Pelodiscus sinensis: one gene and its partners. The protein of the gene in region 3 purifies or fractionates together with the protein of the main gene of each other region. This does not show direct contact. Links are inferred from orthologs where the notes say so. Each region holds a gene or a part of one and is shown on either strand. Other genes may lie near its edges.

The links.
Region 1: the proteins of EBNA1BP2 (region 3) and NOP56 purify together in Homo sapiens (affinity purification with mass spectrometry; 4 studies listed by BioGRID and IntAct, with this or other methods). This does not show direct contact. The link is inferred for Pelodiscus sinensis from reciprocal best matches to the Homo sapiens genes EBNA1BP2 and NOP56.
Region 2: the proteins of EBNA1BP2 (region 3) and NOP2 fractionate together in Homo sapiens (co-fractionation; 3 studies listed by BioGRID and IntAct, with this or other methods). This does not show direct contact. The link is inferred for Pelodiscus sinensis from reciprocal best matches to the Homo sapiens genes EBNA1BP2 and NOP2.
Region 4: the proteins of EBNA1BP2 (region 3) and BRIX1 purify together in Homo sapiens (affinity purification with mass spectrometry; 4 studies listed by BioGRID and IntAct, counting the BioPlex papers as one, with this or other methods). This does not show direct contact. The link is inferred for Pelodiscus sinensis from reciprocal best matches to the Homo sapiens genes EBNA1BP2 and BRIX1.

Annotation. Positions count from the first base shown.
Region 1 is NW_027465891.1:299,236-307,162, forward strand, and holds the start of NOP56 (nucleolar protein 56), read right to left. Parts: upstream 3,228-7,927; 5' UTR 3,128-3,227; coding exon 3,125-3,127; intron 2,599-3,124; coding exon 2,509-2,598; intron 1,287-2,508; coding exon 1,172-1,286; intron 1,039-1,171; coding exon 877-1,038; intron 670-876; coding exon 471-669; intron 419-470; exon of another isoform or gene 283-418; intron 216-282; coding exon 28-215; intron 1-27. UniProt on the Homo sapiens protein: Involved in the early to middle stages of 60S ribosomal subunit biogenesis. Required for the biogenesis of box C/D snoRNAs such U3, U8 and U14 snoRNAs. Part of the small subunit (SSU) processome, first precursor of the small eukaryotic ribosomal subunit.
Region 2 is NC_134711.1:138,759,102-138,766,222, reverse strand, and holds the start of NOP2 (28S rRNA (cytosine(4447)-C(5))-methyltransferase), read right to left. Parts: upstream 3,070-7,121; 5' UTR 2,959-3,069; intron 2,847-2,958; exon of another isoform or gene 2,693-2,846; intron 1,085-2,692; 5' UTR 1,078-1,084; coding exon 972-1,077; intron 815-971; coding exon 769-814; intron 604-768; coding exon 500-603; intron 1-499. Other genes in the region: CHD4 (chromodomain-helicase-DNA-binding protein 4), read right to left, coding at 4,700-4,717. UniProt on the Homo sapiens protein: S-adenosyl-L-methionine-dependent methyltransferase that specifically methylates the C(5) position of cytosine 4447 in 28S rRNA. Required for efficient rRNA processing and 60S ribosomal subunit biogenesis.
Region 3 is NW_027465825.1:545,904-553,544, reverse strand, and holds the start of EBNA1BP2 (putative rRNA-processing protein EBP2), read right to left. Parts: upstream 3,220-7,641; 5' UTR 3,085-3,219; intron 1,798-3,084; 5' UTR 1,790-1,797; coding exon 1,721-1,789; intron 1-1,720. Other genes in the region: CFAP57 (cilia- and flagella-associated protein 57), read left to right, coding at 3,291-3,447. UniProt on the Homo sapiens protein: Required for the processing of the 27S pre-rRNA.
Region 4 is NC_134716.1:107,060,255-107,068,106, forward strand, and holds the start of BRIX1 (ribosome biogenesis protein BRX1 homolog), read right to left. Parts: upstream 3,195-7,852; 5' UTR 3,167-3,194; coding exon 3,011-3,166; intron 1,056-3,010; coding exon 944-1,055; intron 1-943. Other genes in the region: cell cycle checkpoint protein RAD1, read left to right, coding at 3,851-4,045. UniProt on the Homo sapiens protein: Required for biogenesis of the 60S ribosomal subunit.

The DNA of each region.
Region 1 (7,927 bases), on a different chromosome or scaffold from region 3:
CGGGAGGTTTTCAGGAGTGCCACTAACCCATGGACGAGCGGGAGGCATCCAGAATGGCCTGGGCCTTGGCGCTGTCCATCACAATCTCCTCCAGCCCCTCCAGACTCTCCTCGCTCAGCTCCTTGCGGTTCCCGATGTGCTTGGCCAGGCAGCAGTAGGTGTAGTTGTCGCTCACAATCTTGATCAGCTCCGGGAAGTGATACCCGTACCACTCTCTGCGGGAGCCAGAGGGGAGCAGTCAAGGAGGGAAGCATGGACCCGCCAGCTCCTCCCGCCCCACGGCCGTGTCTCCCTGCTAACAAGACAGCCCAGGTCACAGGCTCCCTGGCTGGGGTGTACGCAGGGCAGATGCTCTTCCTCCCCTTTCTGTGCAGTCAGCGCTGGAAGTCGCGCTGCCTGCGGTAAGCATGGGGAGGGACAGTGCACGTTCCAGCTAAGCCCCGGGCAAGCACCCCTGCAGCAGCCCTCACCTGACGCGCATGGAGAAGGTGTTGATGTCCTTGTCCAGCTGGTCCAGCAGGCTGATGGACTGGATGATCATGTTGTCCACCCGGTTGACGTTGAATTTCACTTTGGCTCGTGAGTAGCTGTGCCCCAGGCCCAGCTGTGCCTTGGAGGCCGACTGGGCAGTGAGGCCCTTCACCAGAGTGTGAAAGTGCAGGCGGATCCCTGCACAGAGTGTCTGGTGAGTACGGAACCCCTCGCAGCCACACCGCCCACCCTGTGACAAGCCAAGGAGGGCAGCCCCGAGTGAGCACCTGAGCTCCCACACAGGCAGGGCACCAGGGGACTGGACCAGACATGATCCCTAGGGGGCCTGCTAGGATCCCCATGCCAGAACATAGCCGTCTGGGCCTCGTTCGCGCACGCCCTCACCTCGTGTGATCTCTGCTACGACCCCGCCAGCCTGGCACTGGTAACCCAGCTCCTCTTGGATGGCAGCCCCGATTTTGGCATCGCTGACTCCCAGCAACACTTTCTTCTTCTTGGCCGGCAGGTTGGTCTCCAGGAGCAGCTTGAGGTCCTCATGGAGGATCCCTGCCCCAGGGAGAAGGAGTTATTGGATGGCGAGCCACAGGGCATGGATGGGAGCAAGAGGGCAGCAAGCTCCGCTCCTGGCCCAGCCACCCGTCGCAGGCTGACGGGGAGCAAGCCACCAGCTCAGCCTCACCTTCTGAGACCGCGTTGATGTTCTCCAAGGCACTCTGGGCGGATCGGAACGGGGAGAAGGCCACCAGTCTGACAATGCTGTGGAACTTGCCAATGTTCAGGATGCTCTCCTCCACCTGGGGCGGGCACAGGGCAGCGGGTGAGTAACACAGGGCAGGCTGGGGTACCACACCCGCAGGGGCCCAGGCGCGCACAGGTTCTGATGGAGCACAATGCAGCTAAAGCCCCGGCTGCACGGCCGCAGCCCCCAACACGCATGGCAGGGATGCCGTCTCCACCGGCGGGAACACGGACAGCAGCGCCCCCTTCAGCGCAGCTGCAAGTGCCCCCCACTTGCGCACCTGTGCTCAGACACAGCGCAGCATCACCGCTTTCAGTGGATTGACAGATTTGGGCTGTTCATCACTGCACAAGGTGGGAGCCAAGAGCACGACCCGCCTGCCTGGCCACAGAGAGCCAGGCCTGCTGGCTGGGTTCACACTAGGGCCGTTAAGATGTGGGGTTCTGAAGAAACCCGGAAACACGGCTACACGTTTACACACCAGGGGGAGGGGCTCAGCGCCTGCAGGGAGCCGACTTAATCCAGCTGCACACAAGCAGGGGCTCCAGCGGAGCCATCTTCACTGCCCAAGGAAGCAGGGGCGGGGCAGGCAGCTTCCTAGCGTGTGCCCCTCTGTGCTGCTGCCTCTGTAGCAGAAGTGGCCATGTGGGGGAAGGGGGGTGCCCTTAAGGCGTGAAGATTAACTGATCAGCCCAGGCTCGCTGGTTAGGGTATGCTCTCACATCCCCCGGCCGCACTGGGGATGTAAAATCCCCCTTAATCAGTTAATCCCGTAAGCACTATGTTTAACCAATCAAGCACAAGATCCCAGGAGACCGCTCCAGCTTGGTCCCCTGGCCACACAGGGGCTGCTGCTGCTCCCTACTCCCACAACGCTGGGGCTGTTGCTGCCTGCTCACACCCCTTTGGGTACCAGTGAACCGGTTAACTAGTCACATCCCTCGTACACATGTAGCCCAGTCAGGGGCCTACCGCCAAGCAGCAGTCCCATGCCTAGCAAGCCCCACGCTATACACAGCTGGTCCTGGGTACTGGCGGGTACAACTGGACAGGTAGGGCTGCGCTGGTGCAAGGATCCATCTAGGCAGGAACCCCCAACCCTGCAGGGTCAGATCAGGGAGCCTCCTGCGGAGCCACCCCAGCACGTGGGCAGCCACCGCCCGATTGGGAGTAAGGGAGGGAGGCAGCCGCTCCGGGCCCAAGGTCAGCGCGGTGGGGAACAGCCCTCGGGGGCGAGAATAAACCAGGACCCCCCCCCCCCCCCCGGCAGGGCGCACCTGGGGCAGCAGCAGGCTGATCTCCTCCACCTCCCGCACGACGAACAGCGCGTAGCCGGCCGCGTGCTCGAACAGCACGTGCAGCAGCACCTGCAAGCGGGGCCGTGAGCGCGCGTAGGACACCCCCCCACCGCCCCCGGCCCCCCCCCGCTCCCCTCCCTGCTCCCGCCCCCCCCCCTGCTCCCGCCCCCCCCGGTCCCCTCCCTGCTCCCGCACCGCCCCCGGCCCCCCCCTGCTCCCGCCCCCCCCCGGTCCCCTCCCTGCTCCCGCACCGCCCCCGGCCCCCCCGCCCCCCCCTGCTCCCGCCCCCCCCGGTCCCCTCCCCCCCCACCGCCCCCGGCCCAACCGGCCCCCCCCCGTCCCCTCCCTGCTCCCGCCCCCCCAACCGCTCCCCCCGGTCCCCTCCCCGCTCCCGCCCCCCCCCCCCCGAACCTGCCCCCCGCCCATCTTCCCCGCCGCCCCCCAATCCCGCACGCTCCCCGGGCCTCCCCCCATCGGCCCGGCTCCCCGCCTCCCCGGGTCCCGCAGGCCCCCCAGCACGCAGCCCCGCCACGCTCGGGCTCGAACCGGCTGCCGCGGGGGGGATGGGCCCGGATGGGCCCCGCAGGCCGCTCACCATCGTGCCGCCACCCCACGCAACGGGGCCGCTAGAGGCCTGCAGGAACCGGAAACCGGCCGTTCCACCAATCAGTGACCGCCCCTTTCCCTCACTCGCCAATGGGGCAGCGGGAGCGTCCTTAGGCCCGCCTCTTCCCCACACCAGCCAATGGGACAGCGGGAGCGTCCTTAGGCCCGCCTCTTCCCCACACCAGCCAATGGGAAAGCGGGAGCGTCCTTAGGCCCGCCTCTTCCCCACACCAGCCAATGGGGCAGCGGGAGCGTCCTTAGGCCCGCCTCTTCCCCACACCAGCCAATGGGATGGCGAGAGCGGTGGATTCCGCCAGTCTCCGCGGCGCAGTGGGCGGCTTCCGCTGCTCTGTACGCATGCGCGGGGGGGCGTTCTCCTGCTGCGCCGCAGCGCACTAGGAGGTGACGGGGGGCGGGGCTTGCTCGGCCATTGGCCAGGAGCGTGGGGGGGGGGGGGCCCTGGTCCGGCCTGGCCTCGGCTGAAGAGCAGACCCCCCCTCCCCCCCCGGGTACCCCCTCTTCCCTCGCCCCACTTGCTCGCTTGGTCGGGCTGCGGCGGTTCTGTCCTGTGCCTCCCTGTGGGCCTCAGTTTCCCTGCACACTGCAGTGCTCCGAGGGGGGGGGTGCGTGCCTCAGTTTCCCTGCACACTGCAGCGCTTTGGGGTGGGGGTGCGTGCCTCAGTTTCCCTGCACACTGCAGTGCTCCGAGGGGGGGGTGCGTGCCTCAGTTTCCCTGCGCATTGCAGTGCTCCGAGGGGGGGTGCGTGCCTCAGTTTCCCTGTGCACTGCAGTGCTCCGAGGGGGGGGTGTGCCTCAGTTTCCCTGCACACTGCAGCGCTTTGGGGTTGGGGTGCGTGCGTCAGGCAGGAGTCCAGGTTTGCGTAGGTCTCTCCAGGGTGCTTCTGCACCCCTTGGAACTTCTTCCTGTACGTCTCGGGAGTCAGCCCGAACCTGTGCAGCAGGGCCTGTTTGACCCGTTCGTAGTCCCCGGGCTGCAGCCCTTCCACCCCTGCGGCCTTCTGATCCAGCAAAGGGGTGAGCTGCTGGAGCCAGTTGGCTAGGGGGCCCTGGTGCAGCTCGCAGACTCGCTCAAAAGAGTCAAGAAACCCGTTCAAGTCCCATACATCCTTACACTGGGACAGCACGAACCTCTCAAAGGGACCTGCAGCCCTGGGCCCCTCTGCTTCTCTGCTCTGCCATGGCCAGCTCCTGCTGCCGTTGTTCCATACAACCCTCCAATTCCTTGAGCTGCAGCTTGGTCTCCAGCCGTGCAGCTCCGCGGAGGGAGAGCCCAGCTGGGACGAACCGCTGGTGGCAGTGTGGCCTGAAGGGCACCGTGTCCGTCAGCCAGACTCCAGCCCCCTGTAGCACTCCCGGGGGTGTCTGGCTGCTCCCAGCTGGGGCAGGATCCAGGCCCCCAGACAGTTCATTCTCTTCCAGCTGGGCACTTAGTTGGGCCTTCCCCTTGGTCAGTTTCCCCAAGGGCAGGCCCCTCCCCTTGCACAGCCAGGTGTAGGCCATCTCCCCGCCGTTCCCCGGGGCAGACACTGGCCAAGGTGGCAGTACCCCATGCCTCCCAGGAAGAACCCCGCAGTGCACCCGGCTCCTTGAGGGCCACTCCCTGTCCTGAGGAACGCTCCTTCTCTGCAGTCACGCTCGGGTTAAGCTGCCTGCCCCTTGGCTTTCTGGAATCGCTTCTCTCTGCCTCCCGCACGCCTGGCTCTTGCAAGCCCCCTTCCTTCTCCTGCGCCCCAGTCACTTAACCGCCGGATGCTCCATCCACGGGGTGCAGTCCATCCCACCCGACACCACTGTGATGACGCGTCGGGGGTCCCCGCCCCTGCATCCCCATCTGCAGCCAGATGTGACCCGCAGGCGGCAGGTAGAACTGAAGGTTAATCGGTTCCCAGGGACAGTGTAGCACAGAATCGATGGTAACCCAGGAGCCAGGGCAGGCAGCCTTATTCCTCTCATGGTGAGGAGGGCTCCCGGGGTCCCTCACCCCCTTTTCTGCTCTCCGCCTCCTCTTTCATCCTAGCCCAGTGGAGACTGACCCTTCCCACAGGCCCTACCCCCCAGTCTGGTGCAGCCCCGCCTGTCCTGTCTCCCTTCCAGGCCAAGGGCTATGATCTCCTGTGTCTGGCCCCAGCACACATCTCGGTGAGTCATCGGGAATTACAGCGAACACAGCACAGCAGAGCCAACACGGGATTATAAAAGTTGCACCCCCACTACCTGTCAGAGGTTATAACCCATCCCCCCATCTCCCCTCAGACACCCCAGCGCTCCCTGTGCCCCCCAGCCCCCCTCACACAGGGGAGAGGTTATAACCCATCCCCCATCTCCTCTCAGACACCCCAGTGCTCCCTGTGCCCCCCAGCCCCCCTCACACAGGGGAGAAGTTATAACCCATCCCCCCATCTCCCCTCAGACACCCCAGCGCTCCCTGTGCCCCCCCAGCCCCCCTTTCACAGGGGAGAGGTTATAACCCATCCACCACCTCCCCTCAGATACCCCAGTGTTCCCTGTGCCCCCCCAGCCCCCCTTTCACAGGGGAGAGGTTATAACCCATCCCCCACCTCCCCTCAGACACCCCAGTGTTCCCTGTGCCCCCCCAGCCCCCCTTTCACAGGGGAGAGGTTATAACCCATCCCCCACCTCCCCTCAGACACCCCAGTGCTCCCTGTGCCCCCCAGCCCCCCTCACACAGGGGAGAGGTTCTAACCCATCCCCCACCTCCCCTCACACACCCCAGTGCTCCCTGTGCCCCCCCAGCCCCCCTCACACAGGGGAGAGGTTCTAACCCATCCCCCACCTCCCCTCAGACACCCCAGTGCTCCCTGTGCCCCCCAGCCCCCCTTACACAGGGGAGAGGTTCTAACCCATCCCCCACTTCCAAACAGCTTCTCCCCGTCCCAAAGGACCAAAATGGAGCTGATGACGCGAACAAGCGACCTGTCCATGGCTGTAGGCAAAGGGTCCTGGCGGAGCTGCTGGCCTGCAGGTGCATTGCTGCTGGGAGCGACAGTCACTCCTGTGAAGTGCTGGGCCCCAGGGGCAGGGTGGCATCCACGCCAGACGGCCCATCCTGCCATTGGCTCTTCTGCCCTCCCTCCATGAGCACAAGTTCTGCAGGCGGCTTCCCCGATGGTTGTTCACAGCTCAGCGCACGTGGGGGGAAGGGAATACAAACTGGGAACGGGATGTCAGTGGTACTTGGACGTGGGGGAGGGCGAGGTTTCGAGGCGTCAGCAGGAGCCCCCTATGCATAGCCTCAGTAAGGCCTAAAGGACGCACCGAGCTTGCTGCCTTCCCCACTCTGGCATGATCAATGCAGAAGTGGGGGCCCGCAGGTGTACCCCAAAGCCTTATCTACCAGGCTTTGGCATAAAACTTCCCCCAAAATCTTAAAAACCTAGATTTTGGGAATAAAACTTCCGCTGCCACCATCCAAATATTAATAAGATTAGGGGAAAGATTATTTGGGAAATCTCACCCCTATTATAAAAATCAGGACACACCAGTAACCACTGCCAGGTTAATTAAAAGAAAAGAGAAAACTTTTATTATTATAACAATATTCCTGTTGCGAGCATAAGGATCAGCTGGAAAGGTCACAAAATATACTCCTGGGCTGTGTCTAGACTGGCAAGTTTTTCCGCAAAATTGGATGATTTTGTGGAAAAACTTGCCAGCTGTCTACACAGGCCGCTTGAATTTCCGCAAGAACACAGACGATCTCATGTAAGAAATCAGTGCTTCTTGCGGAAATCCTACGCTGCTCCCGTTCGGGCAAAAGCCCTCTTGCGAAATCATTTGTGCAAGAGGGCCAGTGTAGACAGCACAGGACTGTTTTCCGCAAAAAAGCCCCAACCGCGAAAATGGCGACCGGGGCTCTCTTGCACAAAACCACGTCTAGATTGGCATGGACGCTTTTCCGCAAAAAGTGCTTTTGCGGAAAAGCATCCTGCCACTCGAGACGCGCTTTTCCGAAAATGCTTTTAATAGAAAACTTTTCCGTTAAAAGCATTTTCGGAAAATCCTGCCAGTGTAGACGCAGCCATGGAGGAATTACACCGTGGGCTAGAACTTAGTTACAAAGAAAAGCCAAACATCTCTTAAGCAGGGCCAGATCTCAGATCCCAGACCCAACCCTTAAAACAATAAAGCCTAATGAAACTACCTAACCCTCACCCTGATTACAGAAAGTGAAGAATTGTTTCTTGGAGAGCGAGAGACATGTAGCTGCAGAGGACTGGCCCAGAGAGACAAAGGAGGAAAAAACCCAAATTCCTTTGTCCCAGTTTGAAAGTCCTACGTACATTCCTATCGGCCACTCCACCGGGCTAGGTGTAGTTAACCCCTTAATCCCCAGGCTGCTGGCTGACCCGCATAATCATGACACTTGCCTCCTGGAGAACCGTGTTAGCTTTGTACAGAGCGGGTTGACCTGACTAGTGCCGATAACGCCCCTTTCCCTTCAAACAGGCCTGTGTGCGCTGTGGGGGGCTGGCTTCGCGCTCCCTCTCTGGGCTGAGAGCGAGGTGCAAGAGACCTGGGCCAGGTGCGTGGAGCCCCCAGACGTCGCTGAGAGGGCCCCTGGGTCACAGGCATCGCTGGAGCGGGGCCTGGCCATGCCGCGAGTGTCCGTGACGCCGCGCGGGGCGGAAGATGCCGGAGGATTCAGACGGGTCAGCCTAAGCCCTGCGCTCCCCCCGGGCAGCCCGCCCGCACCTCAGACAGGGCCTGCCCTCACCTCGCCTGCAGGGCGGACTCAGCCCTTGCCTCACTC
Region 2 (7,121 bases), on a different chromosome or scaffold from region 3:
TTGAACTAGGCCCTCCAAAATTTCCAGATCCTTCAGTGATCTTTTAAGTATCCCGAGCCCAGGTTATTGTGCATCCTGAGGTCCAGGATGGCGACCGCTGCATTGGAAGCTGTATACTATGGAGAATCAGGATAGAAAGCAGAAAAGAGTCTGATACTGTCCCAGTGGCCAGGATTACTGAAGAGACGCAATTTTAAACATTTAGGTTTTACAAATTTAATTTGAGCCAAGTCCCTTCTTAGTCCTGTGCAACGCATGCGTTGGAAGCCCTAGCTAGGATGCCCACAGTACGCTGGATGTCAGGTGAGGGAAGCAGAAAGAGAGGTCCATTCTTTGATAGGACACAAGCTATGCCAGACTCCTACTCTGCTCACAGCTGGGGATGAAAGTGAGGAGAATGGTATTAAAACACTCCGAGAAGAATTAGAGCAAAAAGCGTAGACCAACCAGAACTCTTCCACTAGGGAAATAATGAGCAGTCAACTTGTTAAACACACACCCAGGCTGGTGCCATCCATCTCCCCCTCATCTGTTGCCTTTTTTAGCTGAAGCAGATTCCTCCTTGCTTGGGCTTTTCCTGATCCCATTCGCCTCTTTGCAGCCCTGAAAACACATGGAAAAAACGAACACAAGAATAAATGAACTGATAAACCCTTTTACACCAGAAAGCCTAACAACTCCCTCTGACTTGGACCTGCCAGATTGCAACTAGTGTCCTGAATTTTATCCTCTTTAGAGCAGAATTCACTGGTGTACTTGTACACTCACCTTTTTCGTGCATGGCTGGATAATTTTTTTCCACTGCTATCAGTAGCTAGAAACAAAGATGACACAAAATCAAGGAACTGGTACCAGAAGGACAAAGAACAGGATGAGGTCCCTATTTAGGAGCCCATCCAGGTGTGATTGTATATGTAGGTGGGGGGTAGAGAGAGAAGTGCAGAAAATGGTAAAGAAACAAACACACTTACTTGGGGGAAGAAATTTGGCTAATTCTACCTCTGCTCCCTTCTGTTTGCGGGCTTTGCGCCCCGGGCCACGTTTCTCCTTCCTCAGTACATCAAGTTTGCGCCCCATGTTCACCCTGTGGGGTAAGTAATGGAAGAAGAATGAGGAAAACAAACAGAACAGACCTTCCTTCCACACACATTGCAAACTAGGGGGTGATTCCTTTAGGCAGGGGTAGGGTTAGGCCTGGGAGCTAGATCTGGCCCCCAGCTTGCCTTGATTCAGCTCCTGAGGCTCAAAGGTCCCTGCCAGCACTGGGGAGCTGGCATCTGTGCTCCAGCCCTGTGGCTGCCCAGTGGTCTCCCCATGGGGCTGGAGTGCCAGCATCGGCTTCTCCTGTGTGGAGGGAGCGCTTAGCCTCACGGGTTGCAGTCAGACAAGCCAGGGCTGGATTTGAACCACAGACTCTATCTGATGGGCAGGGGAGGGGAAGGAGGAAGTGGCAGCGCAGCAAGGCACTGACTGAAGGCTTCTTCCCCACCAGGCTGATTGGCCGTAACTGTGGCCAATAGGAACAGCAGGGAGCGGGCGCATCCCTATGTGCATCCCCAGGGAGCTGCAGTAAGTAAGCGAACCCATCGCCAAGCCCTTCCAACCCTATTTCGCTCTTGCACCCTACCTCCTTCCCAGAACCCCACCCCATCTTCTGCCCAGACCTCATACTCCTCTCTGCTCCTGCACCTCACTTTCTCACCCAGCCCATTCTTACACCCTACCACCTTCCCAGTCGCATCAATCCCCAGTCCACTCCTACACCATCCCTCCTGTCTAAACAGCATATCCCAAGCCTGCTTCCCACACATTGAACCCATTTTTGGCCCCACCCCAGAGCCTGGGAAGTCCTCAAAATCTACTAGCCCCAGAATGTGGAGAGTGTCTTTCTGCTTTTCAGTTGGGGGCCATGTCAATGAGGTGGTTTTTTCCCCTTGTTTCTCACTTTTGTGCAGCCTCTGACAGATGTCTCTGTGGTTCAGTGGTCTCTAACCCAAAGGGTTCCCCACTACTGCTTTAGGGCAGCAATTCTTCAGCCTGCCTGCCTCTGTGTCTAACACAATGGTTGTCAACCAGGGCTATGTTTCTCCCTGGGGGATACTTCAATTCATCTAGGTATTTGCCTAGTTTTACAACAGGCTACATAAAATCACTAGTGAAGTCAGTATAAATTAAGAATCCACAGTTATTTATTTATACTTCTTTATGGACTGTACACAGACATACAAGTATCAATGTTACATTCCCATTTTAACGCTAGATGATACAATGACAAATAGGGATGTGAAGGACTAGTTGACTATCCAATAAGCAAATGCTTATTTTGGATAGTTGACTAGTCACGTCCCCCATCTCACCCCTTGCTGCTTCTATCAGATAGAGGCAGGAAGGGGCAGGGGAAGAAGAGGGTACTTCAAAGCAGCAGTACCACTTGTAGCCTGGGGCCAGACCCAGGGGTCCACACAGCGCTGCTGCTTTGAAACGCTGCATGTAGCCCACGGCCAGCTGGGATGTCCCGAATCTGCAGGTGGCATTTTCAAAGAGGGGAAGTTCCCAGTTGACCCCGTGTTCCCCATGGGGCTTTTGCCTCTGCGGGTAGCAACAGCCCCACACTTCAAAGGCCAAGGCGCCCTATCGACTAATCAAATGGTCGGTGCAAAAGGGACGGGCTATTCGCCTCGCCAGTTCTCACCATTTAACACCCTCCACACGCGGGCACCCTGGCTCGGACTTGGCCGGGAAGCCGCTTTTCAGTGCGGGGAGACTGGAGGGAGGCGGCAAACGAGCCCGCTGAAGGGGGCAGAGACCTACCCCCCCCCCCCCGGCGCGTTTCTGAGACCGCCGCTCGCCCCCCCGGGACCCCCTTAGCAGCGCCCCCCCGCAGCCCGCGCCTCGCGCCCTTCCTGCCGCCGCTGCCGCCTTCACCCGCCCGGCTCCAGGCCGCGGCCCGCCACCTACCTTCCGGCCCCACGTGCGCGCCGACAGCTCCTTCCGGGGACAGCTCCGCCTCGCAGTGCGCAGGCTCAGCCCCCCCCGCGCTGCGATTGGCCAGGCACCGCCCCTCCTGCCTCCTGCCTCCCGCTCTTCGCACCGCCCCGCGCGCTGCCCCTGGCGGCGGCCCCCCGCCCGTCCAGCTTGGGGCCGAGGCGAGCGCGAGCCGTTCCAGAGGGGCTCGGCCGGGCACTAGCGCGCGCCCCGGGCCCTGCAGCGGCGGGGAGGCGCTGTGCTTAGCCCCACGCAGCGCAGCAGCGGCGCTTACAGCTGCCCCAGGGCGATACAGACCAGGCCGGCGGGCAGGGCCCCCCCCCCCCGCTGTTCGATCATGGCACAAGCTCGCTTAAAGGCAGCCCTCAGCTTTCCCCAGGCTGCAGCGCTAAAGTCAATGACAGCGGCCTGTGGATACTCGCGCCTGCTCCTCCCCTTAAGTGTAATGGAGGAGTAGCAGGCGTGTCTGCCACACACACGGTTTGGCCGCGCAGCTGCTCTGAGTGCACACAAAGTAGCCCTTAGCTAGCTCACAGCACACAGCCCCTTCCGTTCCCACATTGGAAAGATAAGGAGTTAACCTAAAAATGTAGCCACGTTAGAAACAGAGCCAAGGTGATGCTGGCTAGGCCTATACTGACAACAGCATGTGACTTACACCCGGTTTCTTACACACTAGGATGAAAATAACCAGAGAGGGATGTAGGTGCAAGGCTTTCTGTGCCAATTTTCTTGCTGGCATTTTGGACAGTTCTACACTGCACTGAGACACCTGACTGAGGCTGCAGTGGTGTGGAAGCTAAGCTTTGGCACTCTCTTCCCTCCCTACCTCCTAGAGCAGCCAAACCCTCCACAGTGCAATGAAACAGGCTTAGCCTGAATCTGCTAACCTAGGAGAGCAACAGGTTTTTAACTGCAGTTTAGACATTACCAATGCTGAGCTGTATGAATAGCTTCTTACCACCAGCTGATAAGTCAAAAAAAAAAAAATCAGGCAGCTTATTGACCTGAACTAGTGCTCAGGTTGAACAGACCTCCACTAGAGAGGAGGTAGCAGCTCATCACCCATGCAAGGATTGGATAACTTCTCTTCAGTGCTCCACAAAGCCAAAGCTTATGCGAAAGGATAGGCCTTACCATAGTGCTACCATTTCTGCCTTTCCAGCAGACATGCTTACTTATCCTCTAGTATTTCCTCTCCCTGTTACTTGGCACAGCTAACTGCAGACAGCAGAATAAAATACAAGGAAACCTTTATTTTTCAGTTTTATCAAGATTTTTTCCGGTCTTTTCAGCTGTTTTATTAGTGGACAAGTCCAGTCAGTTTTTGTATTAAAAACGATCTTGATGGAGGTAGCTGTGTCTCTGTCCTGGCTTTTGCTTGGTCTCATCTGTACACTCATCTCAGTAAACAAACTCAAAATAAGATTAAAACAAAACATGGAACTCCAGGCTGAAGCAGCGAGCAGTGCAGCCAGGATTCTGTGTAACAGGACGTGGCTCTGTGGCCTCCAGTCACTATGTACAGAGTCCGTCATGTCCCCTCTTGCCCTGGCACGCTCCTAGCTGGTGCAGGCTGGCGCCACAGAGTTTCCTCTCCCACAGGGAGGCCTGTGCAGCAACGTCCGCCAAGGGGAACAGCACCCTCTCAGGAACATCAGGCAGAGGGATAATTTCAGCTTGGTTGAGAAGTCAACAGTACCAAGCCAAGGTCTCATTGCTGCTGGGCCACCTGGGGGGGGAGAGGGGGGGTGAAAAAACATGCATTAGGAGCCTTTACCAAAAGCACCCACCCAGCTGGTACATGCCCTCCTACTAATGAGCAGACTAGAGTGAAGCAAAGTTCTATCAACTAGGGCAGTGTTTCCCAATTGTATTTGGCCAAGGAACCCTTTTCAGAATTTCAAGGAACCCCTAGGTTAGTCAAGAAAAAAAAAAAAAAGGGGTGGCAAAAGGGACCCACCAAATGCATGCAAATCACATTTCCTTCCTCAAGACCTCCACCCCCGTTCCTTGAGGCCTCATCTGCTTTGTTCCCCTCCTCTCCATCACTTGCCATCCCCAGCCCTTACACACTCACTAGGTTGAGACAAGAGGTCTGGGGTGGGAATGAGGGATTTGGGTGTGGGAAGGGGTGAGAAGTACAAGCTCTGGGAGGGAATTTGGATGCAGGAGAAGGGGATGTTGGCTCGGAGAGGGGGCTCCAGGCTCAGGAGTGTTGGGTTCAGGTGGAAGGTTGGGGTGCTGAGTGAGCCATGGGCTTATGGATGTGGGGGTGCTGGGGTTTGGGCTGGATATGTGAGGGACTCAGGACACAGATTTGCCATGTGTGATGGTGCAGGAGTGTGGTGGCAGAAGACTAAGGATGTGGGGCTGCAGGAGTTTGGGGATGTAAGAGGCTCAGGCCCGGGGGTTCCAGTGTATGATAGGCTCAGATTTGGGGTCAGGTGGTGCAGGAGTGTTATGATGCTGCAGTGAGATGGGGATTTGGCCCCAATTGGGGGTTTGTTGGCCAGCCTTCATTTTTAAAAACCCAACAACCCTCCAAAGACCCCCAAGCCTCACTAATGTGGTCCCAAATGTGCTGGTGGGAGCAGGGGACAGAGTGAAAGTGGGTGCTGGGGCTGGGGAAAGGGTGCTGCTGGGTGGAAGGATGCTGGCTCAGGTGACGGGGTGCTGGGGCAGGCAGGTGGCGGGAGTCAGGGACATGGTTCTGCTGGGCACTAGGGTGACTGGCAGGGTGCTACTGGGTGCTAGCGTGGATGGCAGGGTGCTGGGGCCAGGGAGGTGCTGAGTCCTGGGGTGTGAGGCAGGGGGTTGGGGCCAGGGACAGGGTGGTGCTAGGGTGGATGGCAGGGCTGCCAAGGAGCAGGATAGGGATGGGGTGCAAGATCTGAGAGGGAGGTGGGGGGGCAGAAGGGGGCAAGGTCTGGGTGGGAGGTAGGGTGCAGAAGCAGGCTGGATGTAGGGTGTCTGACCAGGGGGAGGAAGCAGGAGCAGACTGGGGGTAGGGTGTCTGGCTATGAGGGAGGGTGCAAGGAGGGGACTTGGGAAGGAATTGGATCTCTCTGAACCGGCACCCTCTGGACCTGACTGGTCCCAGATGAGGGATTTTTGGACCAGGGAGGTCATTTCAGGGCTCCTGGTTCCCGCCCCTCCCTCCTCCCCACTAAGCTTCTTTGCACCTCTATCCCCTGCAACCCAACTGAGCTGCCTACCCCTGCTGGTTCCCTGCACCTCTCCCAAAACCATCCCCCACAATCCAAGGGAGCACAGCACCAGTTCCCTGCAGCCCCCACAGCCCAGCTGAGCTGCCCATCTGTTCCGTATGCCCTCCCCCATCCACCTCAACCCAGCTGAGCCCTGCACTGGTTCCCTGCATGCCTCCCCCCACAGGACTGCTGAGCCCTGTTTCCCTGCACCTCCCCCAAACCCTGCAAAACTGCTGAGCCAAGCACCAATTCCCTGCCCCTCCCTCCACTTGAGTCTAGCCCCAGTTCCCAGCACCTCCATCCTCCTGCAGCCAAACTGAGCTCTGAGCGTGCCACACACACACCCTGCAGCCCAGCCCAACTTCCTGGACCTCCCCACTCTGCAACCCAGCTGAGCTCAATTTCCCTGCACCTTCCCCCAAACCATGCAGACATGCTGAGCCAGCACTGATTCCCTGCCCCCCTCCCCTTGGCTGTCTACACACTGGTGCGATGTTGCGCCAAAGTGGCCACTCTTGCACAAAAACATGCTTCCTGTCTACACTGGCCATGTGTTCTTGCGCAAGTACGCTGACATTCTCATGTATGAAATCAGGGCTTCTGGCACAAGAACTATGATGCTCCCACTCAGGAATAAGACCTTTTGTGCAACTGTTCTTGCTCAAGAGGCCAGTGTAGACAGGCAACATGAATTTCTTGTGCAAGAAAGCCCTGTGGCTAAAATGGCCATCGGCACTTTCTCGGGCAAGAGAGCGTTCACATTGCCATAGATGCTCTTGTGCAAAAGCACAGCTTGCACATGGCAGTGTGGACGTGTTCTTGCACAAGAACTCTTGCGCAAGATGTTCTTGCACAAGAAACCGCCAGTGTAGACATAGCCTAAGTTTCCTCACATGAGCAAAATGAATTGTGTTGTGCACCAGT
Region 3 (7,641 bases):
CACTCAGAGAGAGAATGTTTTAAGAAATGCCACCCAGAAACTTTTGTGACTTTTTGTAACTACAACTCTTGTATATGTAAAGTTATTATTATACAAAATACTGTATGTGAAACATTAATTAGGGAATGTATGTAAGAGAGAGAGTGCTTGGATGATGAATGAATGGTTTTGAGAGGTGCCAGCCTGAGAATGCAGCAACAAAGGGCTGAAGAAGGCGTCAGGTGCCAGTGCAACCAAAAGGTGTCAAGTGGAGAAAACCAAGTACTGGAGGTCCACCCTATGAGATTACTGACAAGCACCTGACAGCCACCCTGGACATCAGCATGATGCAGCAATTTCCATAGACTGGCATAGGAAGAAATTCCTATAAGAACTGGACTAAAAGACTATGGAGTCAGAGTCCAAGGTTCTGCTGACAGCCTACCAGGAGCTTCAGATGTGCATCTGATCAGGACTTCGCTCCCCACTACCATCACTTGTGTACAGAATACCTGGCCAGTATTCTGTCACAAGCAACTTCCAGGCTGGTAACTATAACAAATACATAGAACTTGAATGAATGGATGAATGATTGAATGAATGTTTATATATATGTATATGTATATGTATAAAGGTTAAGTAGTGATAGGAATAAGTAGTTAAAAAACGTTGTTTGCTTCTATCTTTTCTTTATTCTTTATTCTTATCTTTACAATAAATGTGGCTTTTTGCCTTATCCCTCTCATAAGATCCCGCTTGCTTTTATTGGTACAACATTTTGACCCCTCCATAGAAGTGTAGTCCATGACCACTTACCAAACTCTTGGAATGCCGCCCCCACCCTCCACTAAAAATTATTGCCCACCCCTGCAGTATGCTGTGGTGGAACATTGCTAGTCTAATAGGGGACGCTTGACATTGTAACTTATCCCTCTACCACAACTCCTTTCCTCGTATAGTGTTATGTGTTCTCATCTGCATTCTCTCTCTTTTTCCCCACACAGCATTGAGAAATACAGGAAACCCTTGCAATTTGCCGTAGCTGCATTCTTGGCACCACTGCGAATGGCGAAATTCACCAATGCTGGGAGTCACTGCTCCCAGTCACCTCCAAACTCACCATGGAACTCACTACTGTGAGTTCACTGCAGAGGCCGGGAGCCAAGGTAAGTCCCCCATGGCTGCTGGCCCCCGTGTCCCACTCAAGCCTGGAGTAAGGATATTAAGAAGCGAGTAAATCTGTTAAATGTGTAGTAAACAAAAACTTGGTTGACTACACAACTAATTGATAAGGGATAGCACTGTTACCACTCAATCCACCAACTACCCCTCCTGTGGCTCTGCACTACAAGCACTTGTACTGCAAAGTGGCAAGGGGGGGTTGATACCGGTCCTGGCACTAAAAGCCGGCATGCGGGCAGACTGGCTCAGTCCCAGCTTGCACCAGGACCCAGTATCAATCCCCACTGCGGCTCTGCACTATAAGCACTAAGAGCTGTCACAGGGATTGATACCAGGTGGGAGCTGGGACTGAACCAGCCTGCTAAACCTTAAAGGAGATGGGGAGGGGAGTGTGGCGTGTAGTAGATAATGTTAACTGATAAGCGTGTTAATCATTTAGTCAACTACACAAGTACATCCCTCGCCAGGAGACACCCACAAATATGCAGAATTGCAAATAACAATTCTGCAAATTGTGAGGGTCTTCTATATTTTTCAAGCCTGTCGGTATGAAGTTTACCTCTTTGTCGGTGATGACAGATTCTTCTGACTCAGACTCTGACGACGACTGATTTTCATAATCTGCCATCTTTTTAACTGGAAGAAAGAAAGAGATAAAGATGATATGTACTCTGTTCAATTTGAATTCTCATACTGCATTCACCTCTGTATCTACAGACCTGCATAAGGATGTATAAGTGTCTCATTTGTACCCAGCTTGGCCAAAAAGAGATGGTTGATTGCAGAGTGGATGGTGTCATATTCCCTGTGCAGGGACATGATGCTAGATTCAGGTAGGGGTACTCCAAGAATTTGGTAAGTGGTCAAGAGCCATATTCTTCCATGCTAATGGAGGAAATGTGGGGTCTGGGATGGAGGTTTGGTGCAGAAGGGACCTCGGAGTAGGGGATTGGGGTACAGCAAGGGGTGTGGTGTCTGGGATGGAGTTTGGGTGAAGGAGGAGGTTGTGACCTGGGGCAGGAGATTGGGGTGCAGAATCTGGGAGGGAGTATGACTGCAGGAGAGGATTCTGACCTGGAGAAAAGGTTTTGGAGAGGGTACAGAGTCTTGGACAGAGGGGTTGTGTGCAGAAGTAGGGTGCCAGGCACAGATCTAGCCAGGAAATGCTTATCCTAAGTGTCTCATGACCAGCATCCCAGCAGGACTCTTGGTCAGGCTCCCTGCCTGTCATACCCCACACACTGCTCAAAGTAACTGGCTGCTAGGGCCATGTTTGTTTCTCTGCCACATGCTTGTTGGGGAGCAAACCATCCACAAGCACTGCCCCAGCAACTCCCATTGGCCAGTTTCCAACCAATGGAAGCCGTGAGACTGTGCATGGGGCAGTACATAGAGGCACAAGCATGGAGCTCACGGCACAGAAGCACACATGGTCCCAGCGCGGGGCCTGTCAGGCAGGGATTAGGGATGTTCAAATATGTGTAATTAGTAACTGTGTAACTGCTGAAAATGTCAGTGGTTGCGTGCGAGGAGCTGACTTTTAGAGAGTACGTCATTTTATAGGGAACAAAGACTTTTAATGCTGCGACTGTTAACAGTAGTAAAGCCACGTGTGTAACCCCCCTTTCTGTTTGTTACTGCAGATAACCCTTCAGGTTACCATACATGACATCTAGAGACAACAGCTCGCCGCTCTCCCTGCAGCAGCGCCATCGGAATCACACGCGGCTTGGCCGCCCGCCTGTTCCCCTGGGAGCCGCGGAGGGAGCAGCGTCACGCGGACGCCTAGAAGAGCAGCCGCGGCGCCCGGGCTGCGCTAGGAGCGAGGCCGCGGCGCAGGGGCTCGGCCCTGGGGCGCGACGGCACGTGCCGGCCAAGCGCGCTGCACCGTGGGCCTTGCAGTCAGCGCGCGACCGCTCTTACCTCCGCAGCCAGCTCCTGCCCCTGCCACGCGCGTGGACCCGCCGCAGCCCGCGCCGCCTCGAAAGTTCACTTCCGGCCTCTCCAAGGCCGCCGCCGCATGCTCACTTCCGCTTCCGGGTCAGAAGCGCTGGGTCTCCATGGCAACCAGGCGCTTGGTGCTGGCCGAGTGAAGCCCCGTGTCTCTCGCCCCGCGGCGCGGAGCCACCATGTCCGTGATCGTGGCCCAGCCGCTGCACGTCTTCGGGCTCCGCTCGCGCGTGGCCAACTGCGTGTGCTACTTCGACGAGCAGATCATCATCTACCCCTCGGGGAACAGCTGCCTCAAGTACCACCTGGAGCAGCGCTGGCAGAAGTTCATCCCGGGTAAGAGTCTCCCGCCCGACCCTTCTTACCCGGGATTGCCCCGTCTGTACCGAGAGAGGGCCCCAGAGCACTGCTGGGCACTGTGCTAATGAGACTGCAGTCCCTGCTAACACCCCCAGTGGAGGCATGTACACACGTGTGTGCTTCATATGCCTAGCTGCTGCTGGGCACTGTGCTAATGAGACTGCAGTCCCTGCTAACACCCCTAGTGGAGGCGTGTACACACGTGTGTGCTTCATATGCCTAGCTGCTGCTGGGCACTGTGCTAATGAGACTGCAGTCCCTGCTAACACCCCCAGTGGAGGCGTGTACACACGTGTGTGCTTCATATGCCTAGCTGCTGCTGTGCACTGTGCTAATGAGACTGCAGTCCCTGCTAACACCCCCAGTGGAGGCGTGTACACACGTGTGTGCTTCATATGCCTAGCTGCTGCTGTGCACTGTGCTAATGAGACTGCAGTCCCTGCTAACACCCCCAGTGGAGGCATGTACACACGTGTGTGCTTCATATGCCTAGCTGCTGCTGTGCACTGTGCTAATGAGACTGCAGTCCCTGCTAACACCCCCAGTGGAGGCATGTATACATGTGTGTGCTTCATATGCCTAGCTGCTGCTGTGCACTGTGCTAATGAGACTGCAGTCCCTGCTGACACCCCCAGTGGAGGCATGTATACACGTGTGTGCTTCATATGCCTAGCTGCTGCTGTGCACTGTGCTAATGAGACTGCAGTCCCTGCTAACACCCCCAGTGGAGGCGTGTACACACGTGTGTGCTTCATATGCCTAGCTGCTGCTGTGCACTGTGCTAATGAGACTGCAGTCCCTGCTAACATCCCCAGTGGAGGCGTGTACACACGTGTGTGCTTCATATGCCTAGCTGCTGCTGTGCACTGTGCTAATGAGACTGCAGTCCCTGCTAACACCCCCAGTGGAGGCGTGTACACACGTGTGTGCTTCATATGCCTAGCTGCTGCTGTGCACTGTGCTAATGAGACTGCAGTCCCTGCTAACACCCCCAGTGGAGGCGTGTACACACGTGTGTGCTTCATATGCCTAGCTGCTGCTGTGCACTGTGCTAATGAGACTGCAGTCCCTGCTAACATCCCCAGTGGAGGCGTGTACACACGTGTGTGCTTCATATGCCTAGCTGCTGCTGTGCACTGTGCTAATGAGACTGCAGTCCCTGCTAACACCCCCAGTGGAGGCGTGTACACACGTGTGTGCTTCATATGCCTAGCTGCTGCTGTGCACTGTGCTAATGAGACTGCAGTCCCTGCTAACATCCCCAGTGGAGGCGTGTACACACGTGTGTGCTTCATATGCCTAGCTGCTGCTGTGCACTGTGCTAATGAGACTGCAGTCCCTGCTAACACCCCCAGTGGAGGCGTGTACACACGTGTGTGCTTCATATGCCTAGCTGCTGCTGTGCACTGTGCTAATGAGACTGCAGTCCCTGCTAACACCCCCAGTGGAGGCGTGTACACACGTGTGTGCTTCATATGCCCTAGCTGCTGCTGTGCACTGTGCTAATGAGACTGCAGTCCCTGCTAACACCCTCAGTGGAGGCGTGTACACACGTGTGTGCTTCATATGCCTAGCTGCTGCTGTGCACTGTGCTAATGAGACTGCAGTCCCTGCTAACACCCCCAGTGGAGGCATGTACACACGTGTGTGCTTCATATGCCTAGCTGCTGCTGTGCACTGTGCTAATGAGACTGCAGTCCCTGCTAACACCCCCAGTGGAGGCGTGTACACACGTGTGTGCTTCATATGCCTAGCTGCTGCTGTGCACTGTGCTAATGAGACTGCAGTCCCTGCTAACACCCCCAGTGGAGGCATGTACACACGTGTGTGCTTCATATGCCTAGCTGCTGCTGTGCACTGTGCTAATGAGACTGCAGTCCCTGCTAACACCCCCAGTGGAGGCGTATACACACGTGTGTGCTTCATATGCCCTAGCTGCTGCTGTGCACTGTGCTAATGAGACTGCAGTCCCTGCTAACACCCCCAGTGGAGGCATGTATACACGTGTGTGCTTCATATGCCTAGCTGCTGCTGTGCACTGTGCTAATGAGACTGCAGTCCCTGCTGACACCCCCAGTGGAGGCATGTATACACGTGTGTGCTTCATATGCCTAGCTGCTGCTGTGCACTGTGCTAATGAGACTGCAGTCCCTGCTAACACCCCCAGTGGAGGCATGTACACACGTGTGTGCTTCATATGCCTAGCTGCTGCTGTGCACTGTGCTAATGAGACTGCAGTCCCTGCTAACACCCCCAGTGGAGGCATGTACACACGTGTGTGCTTCATATGCCTAGCTGCTGCTGTGCACTGTGCTAATGAGACTGCAGTCCCTGCTAACACCCCCAGTGGAGGCATGTACACACGTGTGTGCTTCATATGCCTAGCTGCTGCTGTGCACTGTGCTAATGAGACTGCAGTCCCTGCTAACACCCCCAGTGGAGGCGTGTACACACGTGTGTGCTTCATATGCCTAGCTGCTGCTGTGCACTGTGCTAATGAGACTGCAGTCCCTGCTAACACCCCCAGTGGAGGCGTGTACACACGTGTGTGCTTCATATGCCTAGCTGCTGCTGTGCACTGTGCTAATGAGACTGCAGTCCCTGCTAACATCCCCAGTGGAGGCGTGTACACACGTGTGTGCTTCATATGCCTAGCTGCTGCTGTGCACTGTGCTAATGAGACTGCAGTCCCTGCTAACACCCCCAGTGGAGGCGTGTACACACGTGTGTGCTTCATATGCCTAGCTGCTGCTGTGCACTGTGCTAATGAGACTGCAGTCCCTGCTAACATCCCCAGTGGAGGCGTGTACACACGTGTGTGCTTCATATGCCTAGCTGCTGCTGTGCACTGTGCTAATGAGACTGCAGTCCCTGCTAACACCCCCAGTGGAGGCGTGTACACACGTGTGTGCTTCATATGCCTAGCTGCTGCTGTGCACTGTGCTAATGAGACTGCAGTCCCTGCTAACACCCCCAGTGGAGGCGTGTACACACGTGTGTGCTTCATATGCCCTACCTGCTGCTGTGCACTGTGCTAATGAGACTGCAGTCCCTGCTAACACCCTCAGTAGAGGCGTGTACACACGTGTGTGCTTCATATGCCTAGCTGCTGCTGTGCACTGTGCTAATGAGACTGCAGTCCCTGCTAACACCCCCAGTGGAGGCATGTACACACGTGTGTGCTTCATATGCCTAGCTGCTGCTGTGCACTGTGCTAATGAGACTGCAGTCCCTGCTAACACCCCCAGTGGAGGCGTGTACACACGTGTGTGCTTCATATGCCTAGCTGCTGCTGTGCACTGTGCTAATGAGACTGCAGTCCCTGCTAACACCCCCAGTGGAGGCATGTACACACGTGTGTGCTTCATATGCCTAGCTGCTGCTGTGCACTGTGCTAATGAGACTGCAGTCCCTGCTAACACCCCCAGTGGAGGCGTGTACACACGTGTGTGCTTCATATGCCCTAGCTGCTGCTGTGCACTGTGCTAATGAGACTGCAGTCCCTGCTAACACCCCCAGTGGAGGCATGTACACACGTGTGTGCTTCATATGCCTAGCTGCTGCTGTGCACTGTGCTAATGAGACTGCAGTCCCTGCTAACATCCCCAGTGGAGGCGTGTACACACGTGTGTGCTTCATATGCCTAGCTGCTGCTGTGCACTGTGCTAATGAGACTGCAGTCCCTGCTAACACCCCCAGTGGAGGCGTGTACACACGTGTGTGCTTCATATGCCTAGCTGCTGCTGTGCACTGTGCTAATGAGACTGCAGTCCCTGCTAACACCCCCAGTGGCGGCGTGTACACACGTGTGTGCTTCATATGCCTAGCTGCTGCTGTGCACTGTGCTAATGAGACTGCAGTCCCTGCTAACACCCCTAGTGGAGGCGTGTACACACGTGTGTGCTTCATATGCCTAGCTGCTGCTGTGCACTGTGCTAATGAGACTGCAGTCCCTGCTAACACCCCTAGTGGAGGCGTGTACACACGTGTGTGCTTCATATGCCTAGCTGCTGCTGTGCACTGTGCTAATGAGACTGCATTCCCTGCTAACACCCCCAGTGGAGGCATGGACACACGTGTGTGCTTCATATGCCTAGCTGCTGCTGTGCACTGTGCTAATGAGACTGCAGTCCCTGCTAACACCCCCAGTGGAGGCATGTACACACGTGT
Region 4 (7,852 bases), on a different chromosome or scaffold from region 3:
TGGCCATTATTCCAGAGAACATGCTTCCATGTTAAAAAAGTGTTAATGCAAAAAGGTACCAATGTGAGATTTCTAAAGACAGCTACAGCACCTGACCCAAGGTTTAAGAATCTGAAGTGCATTTTAAAATCTAAGAGAGATGAGATGTGGAGCATGCTTTCATAAGTCTTTAAAAAAGCAACATTCTACAGAAACTACAGAACACAAGTCACCAAAATAGAAAATCAACCTCCTGCATCTAAATGAGATGATGAAAATGAAGATGCATCACTTTGCACTTCTTGGAAAGTTATCAAACAGAATCATCAGCATGCATGCATGTCTTCTGGAATGATAGTCGAAGCATAAAGAGACATGAATCTCTAGCGTATCTGGCACATTAGTATCTAACAATGCCAGCTACAACAATGCCACGTTACAGTTTATTCTTACATTTAGGTGAAATTGTAAATAAGCAGGCAGCAAACTCTCATATAAATGTAAACAAACTTGTTTCTCTTAGCAAGTGGCTGGAAAAGAATTGGGATTGAGCAGACTTTATTGTTTTATTTTTGAATGCAGGGGTTTTTGCATGTAATTCTATACTTGTAAGTTCAACTTTCATGATAAAGAGAATGTACTGCAGTAGTCGTATTAGGTGAATTGAAAATATTTTTAATCAAAAATATAAAATGAGCACTATACACGTTGTATTCTGTGTTATTACAGAAATAAATATATTTAAAAATGTAAAAAAATCCAAACTATTTAAATGATATTCTATTATTAACATCATGATTGATCATGATTAATTTTTTAATCACTTGACAACCTAAATCTTAGAGTCCAACAGATATTCTGTGTAGCATAATGGAATAATGTCAATAACAGACAGTAGTTTACTAAAACACTCTAGCCAAAAACAGTGACAGAGTTAGATAAAAGCAGTACCTATCGACCCTACCTGCTTTAGAGTGGGGCATCAATGTTCTCAAGTCTTGCATTAGATGTCTTGTTCTGAAATTTATTCCTCTAGAAGAGAAAATAAGCACCCGCTCTTTGTTTTTCCATTTACCCTAAAAGAAACACAAAGGTGAAAAAAAATTTTAATCTTCAACTTTTTAAAATCAAAGTTAATATTTAATCAAGATATTTGTGATTTTTTTAAAACTGTATTTGTGCAAAAGTTTTCAATTAAAATAAAGTGCTGTCTTTCCAACAGGCTGCATATATAAATGTTAACGTGATCAATTTTGATCTTCCACACTTAACTACTTAATTCCTACACAAAAAAATCCTAATCAATTCAACGTTTTCAGTGTCAATATTTGAGGATGGTCACATAAAATTTCCCCTCTTAGGGTGTGATTAACTTCATGTAACAGGATGTACCTGCTTGCAGACAGAAAGGGTAAATACCATGAAATCTGTGTTTTCTCATTTAAACAATAACAATGAGGGTTAGGGATGGGACAGGAATCTAGACTGATAGAAAACATATCTAAATATAGCAAAATGACATTAAGTACATGAAAGTTAAACTGCATACAGTGGTAGTACAGAAGTGTTTATGTTATCTAATTTTAAGGTGAAGAATGAGTGAAGAATTAAGGTCAAGTCTATAGTACAGAAAGTTGGTTTAAGGTACGCAATCCCAGCTACATAAACAACATAGCTGGAGTTGACGTACATTAAGCTGAACTTTGGTGCCATTCCCACAGCAGGAAGTCCATGGGTGAAACACACTTATTGACTTTCCATACTCCTTGTGAAAGTGAGGAGTAACAGCACTGATGGGGAGAAGGGTGCCCTCAGAGCTTATTGGAGAGTGGGGTTGGGGCGCTCTTGACAAGAAACTTGGCTGGGGTACAGGTGCTTGTCCCACTCCCTGTAAGGAGCACCTGACAGGGCAGAACAGGATAAGCACTCTTGCCCCAGCCACACTCCTCAGCAGGAGCATTCCAACGCCGCTCCAAATATTTGTTCTAATGACGACGGTTATAAAATTCAGATTGATGTTTACAATAATATGGTTGGTGTGCCCATTTTATTAAGCCATAGGCCACACATACACCCAGATGCGCCTCTTCAGAGCAAGCGCTGAGAGATGGTTTGCTGCTGTTGACCGATGCAGATCAGATACACATTGTTTCTAGTCAATGTTGGTCAGATGTGGATCCACATGTTTATATCCACACAGGGCTGTACTCATATGAAGAGTATGGGTGACTACACAGATCAAGACAACACCTATCTCTGTGGAGATCAGTGCTCTGCTCTAGGGATGTTAAGGACTAGTCAACTAGTTAAATGCTTATCAGATAGTCAACAGGATAGCTGACTAGTCGTTTCCCTCCCTTGCTGCCTCTATCAGAGAGGCAGCAAGGTGTGTGTGTGGGGGGGGGGGGGGGGGAGAAGATGGGGTAATTCAAATCAGCAATGCCGTACGGAGCACTGCCCCTTTGAAATGCCTTGTGCAGCCTTTCAAAGGGGAAGTGCAGCACAAAGACCAGGATCAGCTGGGGATTCCCCAGATAACCCCGGGCTCCATGAAGTGCAGCCCCTTTGAAAGGCTTCATGCAGTACTAATCGAATAGTGCAAAAGCGCATCCAAAGTGCATCAACTATTTGATTAGTCAATTACATGCTACTTAACATCCTTACTCTGCTCCCTTCCACGCTAAGCAGGGGGCGGCCCTCTGAGACTATGGATGACTTACAGGGAAGACAAGTGTTTTTTTAAATAAGGCAATATCGCTAAAAAAAGGACTGAGGCAGATGCTTCCCTTAAGCGGCCTCCTCCGCCCCGCTACATCCCAACAGGCCAGACAAAGCCAGACCAGACCCTTCCCGCAGCGGGACCGGCGAGCTAAGGTGACCTTGTTCCCACCCCCAAGAACGAGAACACAAGCGATGGCTCCCCAGCCTCTCAGCCCAGGCGCCGCATGGAGACAGGCCGGACTGTGCCAATACTCTCGGGGAAAGGGGTGCACAGGCCTCGGGCAGAAGCGGGACCAGCCGCTCTCTCTACCTTGCAGACAGGAGCCGGGATGCTGTGCTCCTCCCTCTCCGCTCCCTGCGGGCCCCGCTTGGCCCACGGCCCGCTGCCATCGGGAGCCCCCCTGGCTCGCTTCTTGGGCCGCGCCGCAGCCCCTCCACGCTTCCTCTTGGCCGCCGCCATCTTCATTACACGTGACGCGTCCGTCACCCGGAAGCTGCTCTGCTCTTCCGCCCCTCGCTCTATGGTCAGCGCCGCCGCGCTGCCCGGCTCTGGGCGGCCTTCGTGTTACGACAGCCGTAAGGCACGGCGGCGAGCGCCGCCTCGTAGGGAATAGGTAGGATCCGGGTGCGGCTTCTCCCCATCCCCGCTCGGCCCGGGGCCGCCGGCTCCCCAGCGCGGGCCCGTTGGCCTGCGAGCGCCTCGTGCAACGGGACCGTCCGTGTCGCCCAAGCTGGGGCGCCGCCGGCTGGGAGCCGCGTGGGGCGCTCTGCCCTGCAGCGCCCGGGACACGGGCCTTGGCTCGGCGGGCTGCAGCGCCAGTGGACGGGGCGCGTGGTAGCCAGCGACCGGCGCGGCCTGGGGCCGCTGTTCCTCCGCCGCTTTCATTGCACTGAACTCCAGCCCCTCTCGCGGGCAGCAGCAATAGCGACACGTTTACACTTGTACCGTCTGGTCACTTTCACCACCGCATTGCTGCCGGGGCGTCATCGCAGCTGCCAGCCGGGCAGCCGTTCCCGCCTGTCCTTGACCACCAGCGGGTTAGAGTAACAGAAGTATGTGACCTCTGTTTTAGGTTCTCTTTGACACTGCCCCTGCAGGCCTCACATATACGGTCACAGGGAAGATTGGAGTGGTGAATGCAAACGAATAATGCCCCTCTCTACTCAGCTGGAAACTGCCGATGATCAGTATGTTTTAGTCGCCAGTCTTGACAATGTCAGAAACCTCTCGAATATCCTAAAAGCGATTCATTTTAAAGACTATGCAACGTGTTTTGCAACTAGAAATGGAATCAAGGTAACAGTGGAAAATGCAAAATGTGTGCAGGCAAATGCCTTTATTCAGGTAAGGAGCCCAGCACATCATCAGACCATTAATATATCTGTCATCAGTCTTTCACGTGTTTAAAATTACAGTTTTTTTCCCTTTTTCTTGCACTTGGTAGTGGCTTTCCCAATGGACATAATCCAGTCAAACAAAAAACAAAAAGATGAGACCAGTGGATGCAAGGCATTAGATATCTCAGTTCTAGACTTGCAATAGTGTAGATGTTGATAGTATTCAGAAATGCTGGAGTTAAATTCTTAATGTATCAGAGATGGAAATGTTTTGCTATTTTATTATTGTTACTAGCAGACTTACTCAGCATTGATTGCCTACATCTGATGTGGGTGGGGGTGTGGTGGGGAATGATGACCCTGTGTGGGCTGGAGTTGGAGGGGAGGGGCAGCTCAGTGCTTGCCAGGGGGCCTGGGCCAGGGACATGGGAAGGCCCAGACCAGGGTTTGGGAAGTGGGGGCAGGGTGATGGGTGCATGAAGGTCTCTCCCAGGCTGCTGGGGGTCCTATGGGGCAGCTGGGGTTGGGTTGGCCAGCCCCGATGGTACGGCAGGTGGAGGGGTTTTAGACAGGGAGGCCACTTACAATTGGCAGCTAAGGTGGTAGAGTCCCATCCTCAGCTGGTCACTCTTGCTAGTGTGGCTGCCCTCATTGATCACTCTGCAGGATAGCTCTCCTGTGGGCTCACTACCCCCCAGTAGTGAGTGTGAGGATCTCTCCTCTCTGCTCCCCTCCCTTTCCATGTAATGGAAAACTATCAAATTCTAGGCACATCTCATTTTCTTGGCACAACCAAACCCTGAATTTGCCCAGGTTTATCCGTTAATTCTAGCCCATGGAGCTGTTTGCCCACCATGAAAGGCAGCAGCAGGAGGAGGGGGTAGGCGGGAGCTGATGCTTGCAGACAGCCGGCTCCCCGTGAGCACCAGCTCCCTCCTGCCTACCCACCCTCCATGTGTTAACATATAACCACTAAAAATTTCAGCAGTCACATGCTTACACAAATACACAGTTTTTAACATCCTTACTACACACCAAATTTGGTGGCCCTAGCTCTTACCATTTAGGAGGAGTTTGTGAACAAATGGACTGACACGCACATGCACTTTAAAAAATATAGATAGATAGCATGTGAGAGGATCACCATTATTTTTGCATTGAGTCTTGTATTAGCACATAGTATGAAGCCACTGTGAGATGAGAGAGCATTAAATAAGCCAGGGAAAGTATGAGAGAGACTAGAATTATCTAGAACAAAAAACAGGACTATGTAGCACTTTAAAGACTAACAAGATGGTTTATTAGGTGGGCCAGACCCACTTCCTTAGATCAAATACTGTAGTGGAAGAATATTGTCACAACCATCTATACCAAAGCATACAATTAAAAAAATGAACACATCTGAAATTTGATTTGTCCTTTTCACATGTGTGCATTTTTTAAAATTGTATCCTTTGGTATATATGGTTGTGACAATTTTCTTCCACTATTTGATCTGAGGAAGTGGCTCTGGCCCACGAAAGCTCATCACCTAATAAACCATCTTGTTAGTCTTTAAAATGCTACATAGTCCTGTTTTTTGTCCCAGCTACACCAGACTAACACGGCTACATTTCTGTCTCTACAATTATCTAGGAATGGAAACAAAGTATTTGACAGAAGGACTGTTGGAGAGAATAAGGAATGGCATGCAGTTTATTTTAGGTGCTGGAGAGGAAGTATCAAAATGGTAGGAATAAGGTGGAGAATCTGACCCAGCGAGTGCCATGCAATACTGCTGGATGTTAGTTAGAGGTGGAAAAAGACCTTGTAGGTCAGGGAAGAGCAAAATAAGGCCTGCAGGCTGGATGCAGCTTAACAAACCACTGGATGCAGCCCATGGACACAGCAAAGAGCCTCACACAGGCTCCCTGCCTGCCCCTCTTCCGTACGTTGCTCAGAAAAGTGACTTGTCGGGCCATTTGTCTGGGGAGGGGAAGAGGTTCCATGTGCTGCCCCTGCCCCTACCACAATTCCAATGGTCGGTTTCTGGCCAATGGGACCTGCCTGTTTGAAGCACAGCAGCATGCAAAGTACCTCTCCTCTCCAGCTCTTAGCTGTACACACATACAAATGACCCTGCACCCATATGCTACTTAACACAAACCCTCTGCCCTCCCTCCTGTACCACTCTAGGTCACAACCCAAACTCCTGTACCCCAGTCCCCTGCCCCATGTCGCAACCCCCTCCTGCCATGGGTCACAATCCAAACCCTTGCACCCCCTCTTGTACCTCAGGTCACAACTGCCACCTTCACATAAACTCCCTCCCAAAGCTCGCAACCCCTCATGCACCCCAATCACTTCAAGCTCTCTTCTGCATCCAGCCTCATAAGAATGGCCATACTGGTTCAGACCAAAGGTCCATCTAGCCCAGTATCCTGTCTTCCGACAATGGCCAGTACCAGGTACCCCAGAAGGGGTGGACCGAAGACAATGATCAAGCAGTTAGTCTCCTGTCATCCTTCTCCAGCCTTTGACAAACAGAGGCCAGGGTCACCATTCCTTACCCCCTAGCTAGTATCCTTTTATGGACCTAACCTCCATGAATTTAGCTAGCTCTTTTTTAAAACTCTGTTATAGTCCTAACCTTCCCAGCCTCCTCTGGCAAGGAGTTCCACAGGTTGACTGTGCACTGTGTGAAGAACAACCTCCATCCCAGATCCCACACCTCCTCCATTAATATAATGGAAAAGTCCTACCCTTGACCATTTTCTATATTCTTGGAGTGGACCCCATCAAAAATTATTGCCCACCCCTGTGTAGGTCATTATGTGCAGCCTCAAAGGCCAGTGCTGGATTGCTCATTATGGATATATTCTTCACATCAGACAAAGCTATGAATATAGATGGATCATATTAATGATCCAATCACTTCCCTAATGGAAGACAGTTCTACAGTTGACTAAATATCACTTTTTGAAAACTTTTTACTAATATTCAGCCTTATTTCCCTTTCCCTAATACCATCCCATTATTTGCATTTATGCATCATCTTCCATTTCAGGATCTCAAAATTTTCTGCATTCAGATATCATCCATCTTTTAAGGAGTTCACTGTTGTCTTAAGTTATCAAGCAATTACTGTAGTGAGCCCTACTGTACTGAGTTCACTCCTCTTGACATACATCTCGTTGCATCTCTCCTGACCCCTAAACAATACTTTAAATTATTTTTTCTCAACATGTGTTTAATATGATTACTATTGACACTTACCCTTTTCAGATATCTCTAATAACGTTTCGTGTAATTAAATCTATCCCTCCAAATAAGGTGTAGGGATAATTAAAAAAAGAACCACAAAGGGAATTGAAGGGAGCAAAAAGAAAATTAGCTCTTTCTGTAGTCTTAAATTTTTACCTACTTGCTTGGTTTTATTTTTTTGATTTTTAAGAAGTCATATTTTGTTTAATGAGTTCACTTATTTCTGCTGCTGCTTGTTTACTTGACTGTTAGATTAAGAGCTCCTCAAGGCAAAAATTGTGCTGTCTTCTGTTTTTGGAAGCACTTATCATCCAAGGCATACTGGAAATGACAAGTTGTGTTTTTTAAGTTGTATAGTAGTGCACTGAACATCTGCTGATTGATGGAGAGAGCTTTCTGCTTTAACATTTATAGCTTATTAAAAAATTGTAAAAGGCTACTGTCATCCAAATGTCATACTTATCTGGTTTTTCTTTGTCTAAGCTATGTACTAATTCTTAAAAGATCCTGACTACATGCACTTAGTTTACATCTTGTTGCACTCTTGATGGTGAATACTATGGATTTATAG